Coturnix japonica: one gene and its partners. The protein of the gene in region 3 binds, or shares a complex with, the protein of the main gene of each other region. Links are inferred from orthologs where the notes say so. Each region holds a gene or a part of one and is shown on either strand. Other genes may lie near its edges. The genes, in order: IQGAP2, CRK and CDC42.

Region 1 (3,668 bases), on a different chromosome or scaffold from region 3:
CGTTTGGGTTCCTCAGAGTTGCAAGGGTTTGCTCAGCTATTCCCTTCTCAATAGCTTCGTTAATTGCTATCACTGCAGCATGCACTAGAAGTATAAACCAAGATTTTAGGAAGCAATTAGAACATTCAAATCATTCCTTGACCTTGGTCTTCATTTTAAAAGGAATAAACTGATAACATGCTGTTGACAACAGAAATACAAATCCCTTCAGTAATGGTGGGAAATCACTAATTAACCAGAATTCACTTAGCTTTTGTAGCAAGACAATGAAATACCTCCATTAGATACAGAAGTAGCAGTAAAAGCATCCAAGAACAGTGCGCATGTATGACTATGAGATTAACTGCACCTTGTCCAACTTTGTCCAGCTCTAGACCATTCAGTCAGTTGTTGCATGCAAGTTCTGTTCCTTCAGGTCAGTACCATGTTCTAATTTATTTGAAATAATGGTTTAATACGCGTAAGATAATATAAACTTTCCACTTGTTTCCCCAGGCAGCAGCAACAAATGTACTCTATTTACTCAAAGGCAGCTTTAGTAGCATTATGACCACTATCTGTTCCTAGTTTTTGTCTCCCAACTAGGGGCTGCTGTTTGGTGACAGTATAAACATGAGTTGAGTTTTGTTATTCAAGTTCCATGTCATTTTGAAGGCAATTACATGCAGCAAAAGTATTTTCAGTCACTTCCCTTAGTTAAAGCTCCTTTGTGTCTGTACAGCAACACTTACATGATGAGTACATATGATGCTTTGGGACATAGCTTAGCAGTGGACTTGTTATGTGGATGGTTGGATTTCATGATAGCAAAAGTATTCTCCAAAACCTAAATGATTATATGACTACTTAAAAATATTGTTTAAAATAATTGTTACTGAAAGATTTTATGCAGGAAAAAGAAAATTCAAATAGTGAAATCTGTTACCTAGAAAATACAGCTAAGACTCCCCAATTGGGGCACAACCCTAAATGCCATGTCTAAAACTGTCCAAGATGATAATTCTCCTTTCTTTATTGAGGATCTCCATGAGAACTGGGGAAGACAGTGTCACTAACAAAATGTCTCCCTACTCCCATACCCTGCAAATCTGCAAGCTACAAATAGAAAAGTGTTCCCCAGCCGTTAGTTGCTATGAAATCGTTTTCTCTAGCTCAAGTCAGTACAACATTCTCTTCTAATGATAAGCAGCTGGCACAGGGATGTGGAGAGTCACACTGTTTTCTTCAACATTCAGCTTTATAAAAACCAAGGTCTGCCTGAAGGGGCAAAGTGAAGATGTGTAAGCCCCTGCATCTGCATCTAAAAATACACAGAAAGGATGTAATCTCTCACAGTATTGTATAAGAGGTACCTCTGACATAAGTGGAGCCAGCAACAAGTGGACAACAGATAGTAAAAAGATTAGGAAAGCTGTGAACTTGTGCTGGTGGATGTTGTAAGCCAAGAGAAACAATGAGAAATGTGACCGGACAAAATATGGTTATTTAGAAAAATAGTCAGTTTTGAGAGTACTTAAGTTTACTCTTTGCATGCTGATTTGTACTAATACTGACAGCATAGCAAAAGTCATCAGTTGTTGTTTCACTTCCTATTTCTATTTTGCTCACTCCATTTCAGAAGCAGGCTGATAGCCCTCCTGTAGCAGGATCTCCACATCAATTCTCATTGATGCATGAGGGTTCCCACAGCAGATATTTCCTGTTCTGGGGCAGGGCACATTACTGACAGCACAGTCCCTGCCTAAAGAGACAGAACCAGCATCAGGAAACCCTGATTTTCTATAAAAGGCTGAAAACTCTTCCAAAGTTGAAGGAAACTATATACACACACTATAAAAAGCTTTCAGAACCAGAAAAGGAAGTTGCAGTCCTTTCATCATAAGGGAAGGAAGGAAGCTTACTGGAAAAAAGTGTTTTATCATCACTAAATCTCTGAAAGTTTGCTAAAAAAAAAAAAAAGGTCAATCAGAAAAACAAAGCTTACTTCAAAAAAGAGTATTTTAAGATCTGGCTTTGCACAAGTCTACACAGCATTCAGCTGCAGCAAGCTGCAAAATACGTGACAAGGTAAATCAACACAAGAGAAGCACGCTTTACGTTCATATCTGGAAACTTCAGCACACTAAATCACAAATAAATCTGTTTCAATTATTCTGCATTGTAAAGTTTAGGAAAGCTGCACTGGTACTTAATTACATTAAGTAATGTGTTCTGTCATTGCTTTGTTTTTCCTCCACTCAGTCTGCTCCTTTTCTGTATTGATACTTTTAAATTTCACTACATATGCTGTCTTGAGTAGCCCGTTGCAACTTTTCTGGTGTAGAGTCACCCACAAATCTCACTTCTTCATTCTAAAGAAGCACTAGGTACCAAAACTATAAACACACACAAGAGATAGAAAGAAGTCTTTGTTTCTGATAGTGCTTCCTAAAAATGCAATAGACTGCATAAAACTATCTTCTGCTCAATAATGCAGATGGGCAAATAGAAAAAAGATCTTGTAACAGTTACAAAATGTGATGGTCAATGAACAGTTGACTGCATTTCTAATCGCTTATCAAAAGATGATGTTCAAGAGATAGATGAATAAAAATAGTATTTTGTTGGCATCCTTTCAGTTTATTCAGTAGAAAACAGAACCAAAAGAGGTGTTTACTTACATGCAGCTTCATCAACTGATAATTCACTGGCCAGAATCCCACCAATTTTACTAAAAGACGGCATCTGTATGCCATACTTCTCCAGCTCCTTTCGCATGTTGCTGATTTCTTCCTCTGTTCAGGTAGGAAAGAAATCATTAGAACAAAATCTGAATAACTCCATTGTGAATCATCGTATCTAGTGCAATTTTATTTTATTGAAAGCAAATGTGATCAGGGATCCTCAGCAGCTTTTTTCCCCGTTTTGAAAGAAAGTATCTAAGATATGACAAGTATTCTATACAAATTCACTCGCTTCTGCCCTTCAAAAACATGTATTTATTAAAAATAGCACCCTCCCACATATTTAATTAGGAGCTGCTCCGTACAACCCTAAGGGAGGAGAAAGACTGTAATGGAAAATATGTACAATGTTAGCAGATTTACTGCATGAAGGAGTTACGTAGGACATGATTAGATAAGCAGTTCGTTACCTGTGAAGTCTACTTTTCCCAGTAGGTCCTGAATTTGTGGTGCTAATCCTAGTTTGAACAGATATAAACTACAAAGAAGAATAACAAGCATTAGAAAACATTGATGTGTTCATTTTCTATTCAACAGTGTATAACTGCCACTGTGAAGGTTGTCCTTCAACATTTCTCTTTCATGGAGGGCTACAGAACAAATTTGTCTTTTTGCTGTATTTTATGTATAATAGATATTTTTTACTTGCAGTTTCAAAGAAAGATCTGTAAGACATACTGTCATTTTGTCTCAGATCACAGAGGAAGTGTGAACACGTAATTACTTTCCACTGAGGGTTTCTAAAGAAGTTCAAGAGTTAATACGGTCAAGAATAATATATGAATGTACTTTAGCAGAGCTAAAGACCCATAGCTTTGGGTCTATAGTTCTTTTGACTTGAATTCTTATACACTTACAATTAGTAGCTGAAGGCACACAATTTACCGACAGCCTTCTTACTAAGTGTAGAGGAATATGCTCCTAGCCCCTCTCAAGTATATTTCT
Region 2 (4,251 bases), on a different chromosome or scaffold from region 3:
CTCAAGGGTTTCACATTTCTCTCTTCACTCCCATCCCGTCCGTGCCACTAGGCAGTTTTCTCTTTATCCCTAAGCTTTGGTAAGCTTTCCTTTTTAGGGCATGGGAGACTTAACAGGAATATAGGTTTTCAATTTCATCTCTAGACACACCCCACAAACCCCTACCCCCATCTTCAAAAGCACATTTGGGGAAAGAAAGGCTGTTCTTGGTGTTCAGGGTGCTGAGACACGAGGCTCTCACTCTGAACACATCACAGCAACATATCACAGCCTTCCTCCTAGAGCAACTCTGCAACAGAGGCAAAACCTTCTGCCTGTTTCCCCCACCTTCATTCCGACACCTTCTTCTCCTTGTTCTTCAGTGCCTGTCTGCTCACTACTGAGACAAGCACTCAGGAATGCTCTATAAAAACATGAGTCCAGGAAGTGCAGCCTGAATCCTTCAGAAAATCACAATGGAGCGCAATAAGCACGTTCTTAAGACGCATAATACTTACTGAAAACATCACCTTCCACTCTGTCACACTTCTCTATGTCATAAAGAAAAACGTTAAGGCTTTCAGGCTTCTGGCCTGATGTCTTTAGATGTTTGAGTGTACACCAGACATCACGGCCCTATCCTTGTATGTCAAACTGCAAAGACGTGATGGGTTTAAAGTCAGGTTCCTACTGTCACCTGCACACAGCAGGGTACAAGCAGTCACAAATCACACATGCATTTCAATCACCTGAAGCCAATAAATCAACACAGGAACCTGACCGGGCATATTTAGGCTTTCCAGTGAGTTGTGTGCATCTGTCAAACAATCAATTGCAATAAAAATAAGTAGACCATATAGAAAACTGACATGGTAAAGTTGGTTTTTCCAAAATAGCTACTTGTGAACATTTACCTCATTTCACTGCACTACCTTCCCCATCCAAACCTGAAATCATCTTCAACCTTATAGCAATAATAGCACGTCCCTTCCTTTAAAGAACATTTCTCCCTGGAGGAAATTCTTAATTACAGGTTAAACGTAACTTACTACACACACACTTTCTTCCTTTGAGCGTGAAAAGCGCACAGCATCAGCATGACATTCATTTAAACCCACTTGAATTTCAGCACAAAAATACCTTTGGTGTGAAAGCAAAGCAGCACCTATTCCAATAACATCAAGGTGGGGAAAAAGTGGACTTCCAAAAAGTAATAAAGCTCAGGATGGACTCCACTACAAATCACCATAGAAGCTTATTCTGCTCTGTGTAACAACCACACGTTTCACACATCAACCTATGAAAATAAACCTTTGCCTTGATAAGACATGAAACGCTGAGGAACCGAATGTATCTTGTGGTAAACCACTTCACTACCCGCTTCGCTTCCAGTTCAATGCAGCCACCTTTATCTCCTGCATTGCAGAGCTTTGTGTGACTGAAGCACACCTTACAGCAGCGGCAGATTCCTGTGATGAACCCAATGACTTCAGGCTTTCCCCAGTTTGTCAATTCTAAACGTTACCCCAATCAGGAGAGATCACTGTAGAATGGTGCAAACCCACCCACCACCAACAGATTCCTTCTTTATCAACTACAGTCTGCACAGCCTTTCTGTCTCTGTAGCAACCTATGTCCTAACTTCACTCCTCGTCAGGTTCATTAGCTCTCCTATTACACAGCCTTATTATACAGCCTTCCAGACTTTGTAGTGGTTTCTCAGAGATGCCAGCAATTCGCCCACATCATTCTGTGAGCATTAACATCCAGACAGGAGCGGCTCCACCGCCAACATCAGCAATGCCCCCATCAGGGCTGCTGCTTAATTCAACCTTCTCATCACACATCGATAGATTATACATTGCTGAAGGCTCCAGGTCACTTGTGCGTTCAGAATCATTGCTTTCTGCAATGCAAAAGCAACACTTCAAGGGTTAACTTAAGTACATTATGTTTGTATTAGAGGTTGATGAGGAATAACATCAAATCTCCCTTTACAACACAAGGTGTGTGTAGGAGGGGGAACCCTGAATTCCGTATCTGATCTAAAGGAACAAACGCCTTTACACTGCTCCCACCCAGCTTTGATTCACGACTAAGTTTAGCCTCACAATCTGTCCTCTTAACTCTCAACTATTCCAACCCAATTCAACCTTTGAATTGACACTTCCAGGGATCCATCTCCACGCTGACACACCTCACCCACAAATTAAAACAAAACGAAAGAAGGCATAAAGCTGTAAAAGTGTGACGGCTCCGGGCTGCGCTCTGTCCCATCGTTTAGATGCGAGGCAGGTGCAGGGAAACGGCTGCAAGGCGAGATTGAATTAAGTCCTCTACAAAGAGCAACACGACTCCAACACAACACGACTCCACCACGACTCTCAGACCCGGCCGTGAGCAGAGCGGAGCTGCAGGGACCAGGCGCAGAGCGGGGCCCGCAGCGGCTGATGGGCACGGCCAGCCCTGGGGGTCACTCACCCGGGGTCCCGGGGCCCTCTCCGCCGGCCCTTCGTCCTCCCGCCGGCCCCAGGCTGTTGACGATGTAGTGCGACACGCGGGAGCTCTCAGACACCGACAGGACGAAGTCTCCGGGGATGGTGCCCGAGTCTCGCACCAGGAAGGTCCCGTGGCGCTGCCCCTGAAGCAACGACACCGCCTCGGCCCGGCTCAGCCGCCCCCAGTACCAGCTCCCCCGGTCCTCGGAGTCGAACTGCCCGGCCATGGGGGCCGTCCCGCCCGCAGGCCGCACTCGCTGCCCCCGCCCCGCGGGCCGCCGCCGCCCGCGGTGCCCAGCTCCGCGCCCAGCCCTACCGCACCAAAATGGCGGCCCCTACCCTGACCTCACCTACCGGAAGTGACCGCACGCGGGAGACGCGGGGGGATACGTGACGTCATCACAACGCGCGGCCTTGGGGACGGTTGGCGGCCTGTGGGGGCTGCGCATGCGCGTTGGGTGGAGCGCAGGGTCTGAGGGGAGCTGTGTGTGTGCTGCCTTGTAGGTGAGACCTGATTGTGAGTGCGGAGGGTCCGTCTGGGCACCCACAGGATCACAGAATGACCCGGGTTGGAAGGGACCTCAAGGATCATGTAGTTCCAACCCCCTGCCTGGCAGGGCCACCAAACATACACCTTTACTAGATCAGGTTGCCCATGGCCCCGTCCAACCTGGCCTTGAACACCTCCAAGGACGGGGCATCCACAACCTCCCTGGGCAGCCTGTTCCAGGGCCTCACCACTCTCCTAGTGAAGAACTTCCCCCTGACATCCAACCTAAATCTTCCCTCTTTTAACTTCAAACCATTTCCCCGTGTCCTGCTATTGTCAGCCCTTTCCAAGAGTTTACTCCCCTCCTGGTTATAGGTTCCCTTCAGGTATTGAAAGGCTGCAATGAGGTCACCCCGCAACCTTCTCTTCTCCAGGCTGAACAAACCCAACTCCCTCAGCCTGTCCTCAGAGGGGAGGTGCTCCAGCCCCTGATCATCTTCCTGTCCCTCCATTGAGGATTCAATTCATTGTCTTTTTTCCTTCAGAGAGAAGCTGCCACCTGCAGTTGGTGCTTTCACCTTCCCAGCCAGCTGCATTTTCCTGCCTCACAGCTGTTTGCATGGAAAACCACTGGAAAACCCTTCCCAGGGAGATGTTCTGTGTTAAGTAGAGCCCTGTGGAAAAACAAGCTGTTTCTGACCCTGAGAAGATCACTGACCGCAGGAGCCTGCAGATAAAGTTGCTTCACTTCCATTTCTGCTGCAGGGGAATGTGCATGTGGGTGTATGCACCATTAAGAATTATAAGGATGGAGAAATAGGTACCAAGTTTAGATTAGCTTCAAGTTCCAGAGTAACATCTTCAGAGTCTGGATAACTGCATAGACAATTCCATTCCAGCTCTGCTCAATTCTATAAGCTTTTTTTTTTCCCCCAAAGGAATGTGTATTTTCAACTGTGTGGCCTCCATGTGGCAGCACTTGCATAAACATGGAGCACAGCTGCCCTTAACTGTGCAAGTGCATGTGCTGGCTCACAGCACCTTTGCTTTCTTGTGAGGCATTGGGAAGCCCTGTGACTGTCTCATGGAGTGGCTTTGGTATTGTGTTTTGTATGAACCTTCACAGTATCCCAATGGAAAAATATTCTATCTTACAGGTGGGAGGCTGCAGTTATAAATATATAAGAAAACACCAGGTGTTTGACTTATCAGATGGTTTAACAAATGAGCATCCTTCCTTCGCTGATCCTGTTCTCTCTCCAGATGGACTGTAGGTAGGAGCCA
Region 3 (3,979 bases):
GTCTCTATCATTTTGAAGTAACTTGTTTTCTGGATGAGCTGCTATGAATTACCAAGGGAGAAGCTCAAGGTGTCACCTCAAAAAGCAGCTCTTAGACTGATATATGCTATGCTTAATGCAACTTAAGAACTGACAGCTACCACACTATTCAGCAGGGCTCGTCACAACAAGCTGATAAGTGCAGACATACACAAGATAGGAAGTGAATGCAGCTGAGTGGGAGAATTTTAGAAGTCTGAGCTTAAAGCACTGCCAACATAACACCTTTTAAGTCCTACTACTTAAAAGAAATGAAAGAGTCAACAGCCATTGCACAGCCCTACATTCAAAACAAGCCTGGTCAAGCAGAGCGTGACTCAGTGGGCACAGCACAGCAAGGTTCCCATCTGCTCACTGCTCGGACCTCAAAGGAACCACCTTCACATGGACTCAAAGAAGAAGGCAGAAGTCATCCCACATTAAACCCTGAGAAGCACGGCTGCTTATCCCAGCTCCCCTCCCTATAGCCAGACACATTTAGAAGCACTACAGCTGACACTGGCAGCAGCACAGTGAGCACTTTTGCATAAGGGCAGCCACCCTGTGCACATCAGCTGCAGCACCCAGTGCATGGCTCAGCTGCTGGTGCTCCATGCGTAGGAACTGCCCCAACACTGTCTGCAGGAAGCAGCGTGCTTATCTCAGGCCTATCAATATCACTGCTGATAAAGGGATTATACTTTGTTGGGAATGATGTTCCAGAAGAGATTTCTCATTGATGCTTTCCACTCCACATTAAAGGAACTTGGATCAGAACCCATGGACACATGCATTCCAGCATAACGGGGTGACAGGAGCCATGGTCAAAGCCTACAGTGCACTAAGTGTGTAAGCAGAGCTCCTGCTACATACTAGAAACCCATATCGCTTCCTTTTAATGCAACAGCACCTCCATATCTGTTGGTTTTTCATCAGAAACTGAGTATTAAGTGTGAGGATAATTACAACCCCTATATACCAACACTCCTGAATTGGAGTAGGTTGACATTCATCATCATGCCTATGGATGGAGCCAAAGCTGGGCTGGCCACAGCAAGCAAGGACTGAGGGGCTGCAGTGTGCAAGGCTGTAGGTGACTTAAAAGCTGCATCTAAAGACACTTCTGGTACTGCAAGCGTGTTTTATCCTGCAGCTTTTATTCCTCAGCAAGGCTTTAAAATGCTTTGCGTCCTTATTACTGCAGCATATAAGCAGTAAACAGACCGAACAAAGAGTCGTTTCACAACTAACAATATTAAACACATTAACATATTGATTCATTCATGCGTTACCTGCTTCGGATGAAGACTTGCCTACACTCCACCCCATCATCTCACTCATTTCCAAGCCAGAACAACACATTTTCCACATATAAACACCTGAATACAAAGCCTTTCTATCTAAACTTGTTCCTGTGCAACAGAGCCAAGCTCCAAGTGCTTTACTGACTTACTCCCATTAGAAACACTAGAAACTTAACCTGGGTTTTAATTATTCCTCTAAAAAAAGGCCATTTGGGGTGCTCCAATGGAACACTTTGAATAAAGCCAGCATCTCTTTCACAGGCTGCCCAGGGAGGTTGTGGATGCCCCGTCCTTGGAAGTGTTCAAGCCCAGGTTGGATGGAGCCCTGGGCAACCTGATCTATGGGGTCTCCTGGGCAACCTGATCTAGTAAATGTGTATGTTTGGTGGCCCTGCCAGGCAGGGGGGGTGGAACTACATGACCCTTGAGGTCCCTTCCAATCCAGGTCATTCTGTGATTCTGTGATTCTCTTTCTTTATGGTAGAAGTAATACAAACAGATGCAATCACAGACTGAACTACTTTGGCCTGCACGTCTATCACAGCCTCTCATCCAGGCCTTGCCTTCATGGTGCTCAGTCTATATGGTTAGATAGCAGTGCTGGCTCTGCAGCCTGCAGGCAGATGGGGCAGGTACCATCCTTATCTCCCCCAAGCACAGATTCCACACACACCTGGGCCACCACCACCATCAGCTTACAAGAAAAGCTACTATGAAAGGGGCCACACTATATTTCATCTCAGAGAGCTCAAAGATGGAAGAGAAATCCCCCCCCACATCAACCCTCCAAGCACAGCAGCCAACAACCAGCCATATACATCAACGGGACGGCGGATGACCCAGCACCTGGGCGAGACAAAAGCCGGGCAGCGCCTCCCAGCTCTTTATAGGGAGAAGGAGGAGAGGGAAGGGAAGGAAAGGAAACGTTCGGCGGTTCCTAAAGCAAAGCCCACACCCCAACTGCGCCTCGGAACTACTTCAGAGCTGGGCGGCGCTCCCGGAAGAAGCACAGGCCCAACCTGCGGCACCGACCTCCGGCTTCCCCTCCTCCCTTGCGGGGCTCACAACCCGCAGGGCCCAGCGCTCCGTGCCGGGCGGGGGGCAGGACGAGGAGGAGGCCGAGCTGGGCCGCGTAGGCCGCGCTCCCCCCCATACACACACACACACACACACACACCTCAGCCCCGCTCTGCGCCAACAGCCCCAACCCAGCGGCGGGGAGGCCCCACACACACACAGCCCGCACCCACACGGTCCCGGTTCTCCGCCCCCGCTGTGTGATGGCGGTACAGAGGCGCGGTGCAGCCCGCACACCCGCCCGCCGCTCCCGCCCCGCTCCGCCGCGGCCGCTCACCTCAGAGTCTCCGCCGGGCGTTGGCGGCTCGCTGCGGGGTCTCCTCGGCTTCAGGCGCAGGGGCACGCTGCGGGTGACGTCATCGCGTAGCGCTGGGAGGGGGGACGCTGCGGGTGACGTCATCGCGTATTGAACGAGAAGGCGGAGCGCGCTTCCGGTTTGCTCAGTCGAGGCCTGTGCGGCCGGTTGGGTCGGAGGGGCGATAAGGCCGCTATGTGGGTCACCAGCAGGGTTAGTTAGAGCCCAGGCCTCTCCCAGCCGCTGTTTGGTGCCTTGTTCCTAATGCAACTCCCACCCTATGGACCCAAAACTGCATTAGGGGCAGGCTAAGCCAAGAAGAGGCAGCCAATAGGCCAGAGGCACTTAGGGACCCCCCCCATAAGCTTTATCAGGGACCCCCCATAAGCTTTAATAGAGACCCCCCATAAGCTTTATCAGGGACCCCCCCCATAAGCTTTATTAGGGACCCCTCCATTAGCTTTATTAGAGACCCCTCCATAAGCTTTATCAGGGACCCCCCCATAAGCTTTAATAGAGACCCCGCCATAAGCTTTAATAGAGACCCCTCCATAAGCTTTAATAGAAACCCCTCCATAAGCTTTAATAGAGACCCCTCCATTAGCTTTAATAGAGGCCCTTCCATAAGCTTTGTGAGGGACCCCACACATAAGAAACCACAAGCAGAGGCAGCAGCCATCACCCCAATCCTTTGTACATCAGCTTACAGTTCTTAATGATGGGAAACAGATAAAACTGGGGCAGGAACACCTTCCTCCCAGAGAAGCATAAATCACAGGTCTCCGATGTTGCTGTAATTAGCACTACAGCCCATGCAGTAATTAACTTTCTCCCATTCAGATTTAATAACATGCAGTAAAATAAGACCTGGGGTGATAACACATGCAGGGGGGGAAGCACCCTATCAAATGAGGCACTTGTGACTTGATAAGGAATTAATTATAGCCTGGCCTAATAATAACAACACATTGCTTTTAATTTGCCCAGTGCTCTGAGTGAGGGAGGGTGCGCTGGGAAAAGCTTCTTCCTAAATCCTACAATGACTCTGAGAAGATTTCGGTCAGCCAGAGTGAAGCTCCGCAGGATGGGGCTGGGCTGATGGCAGCGCTGTAACAAAAGCCTTGTGGGCAGATAAGATGCAGATGAGCTGAGGGAGAATCCAGGGCTGCAGCATCCCCATCTTCAGGTCTCAAGCCAGGCACCAAAACCCCTTCTTCTGCTGCAGGGCATGGGTCAGGAGGAGAACTACTTGGTCTAAGGTGAACAAATCCACACTAGAAAGGGA

What was found.
Region 1: the proteins of CDC42 (region 3) and IQGAP2 are in contact, whole or in part, in a crystal structure (PDB 5CJP), measured with the Homo sapiens proteins. The link is inferred for Coturnix japonica from reciprocal best matches to the Homo sapiens genes CDC42 and IQGAP2. Residues at the interface, in NP_001034891.1 of Homo sapiens: Gly12, Ala13, Ile21, Thr25, Asn26, Lys27, Phe28, Pro29, Ser30, Glu31, Tyr32, Val33, Pro34, Val36, Phe37, Asp38, Tyr40, Phe56, Tyr64, Leu70, Gln74, Gln116, Leu119, Asp122, Pro123, Ser124, Thr125, Glu127, Lys128, Lys131; in NP_006624.3 of Homo sapiens: Gln893, Thr894, Asn924, Tyr925, Ser927, Asn928, Gln929, Arg930, Glu931, Glu932, Arg976, Gly977, Asn979, Gln983, Asp1067, Leu1068, Leu1069, Pro1070, Tyr1071, Lys1191, Phe1192, Asn1193, Lys1196, Tyr1197, Leu1200, Val1201, Thr1202, Val1203, Ser1204, Lys1205.
Region 2: CDC42 (region 3) and CRK share a complex: the UniProt entries of both Homo sapiens proteins name them as parts of the collagen stimulated complex. The link is inferred for Coturnix japonica from reciprocal best matches to the Homo sapiens genes CDC42 and CRK.

The regions. Positions count from the first base shown.
Region 1 is NC_029547.1:21,513,975-21,517,642, forward strand, and holds part of IQGAP2 (ras GTPase-activating-like protein IQGAP2), read right to left. Parts: intron 3,202-3,668; coding exon 3,134-3,201; intron 2,775-3,133; coding exon 2,661-2,774; intron 85-2,660; coding exon 1-84. UniProt on the Homo sapiens protein: Binds to activated CDC42 and RAC1 but does not seem to stimulate their GTPase activity. Associates with calmodulin.
Region 2 is NC_029534.1:3,973,157-3,977,407, reverse strand, and holds the start of CRK (adapter molecule crk), read right to left. Parts: upstream 2,834-4,251; 5' UTR 2,705-2,833; coding exon 2,461-2,704; intron 1-2,460. UniProt on the Homo sapiens protein: Involved in cell branching and adhesion mediated by BCAR1-CRK-RAPGEF1 signaling and activation of RAP1.
Region 3 is NC_029536.1:5,530,743-5,534,721, forward strand, and holds the start of CDC42 (cell division control protein 42 homolog), read right to left. Parts: upstream 2,801-3,979; 5' UTR 2,677-2,800; intron 1-2,676. UniProt on the Homo sapiens protein: Plasma membrane-associated small GTPase which cycles between an active GTP-bound and an inactive GDP-bound state. In active state binds to a variety of effector proteins to regulate cellular responses. Involved in epithelial cell polarization processes.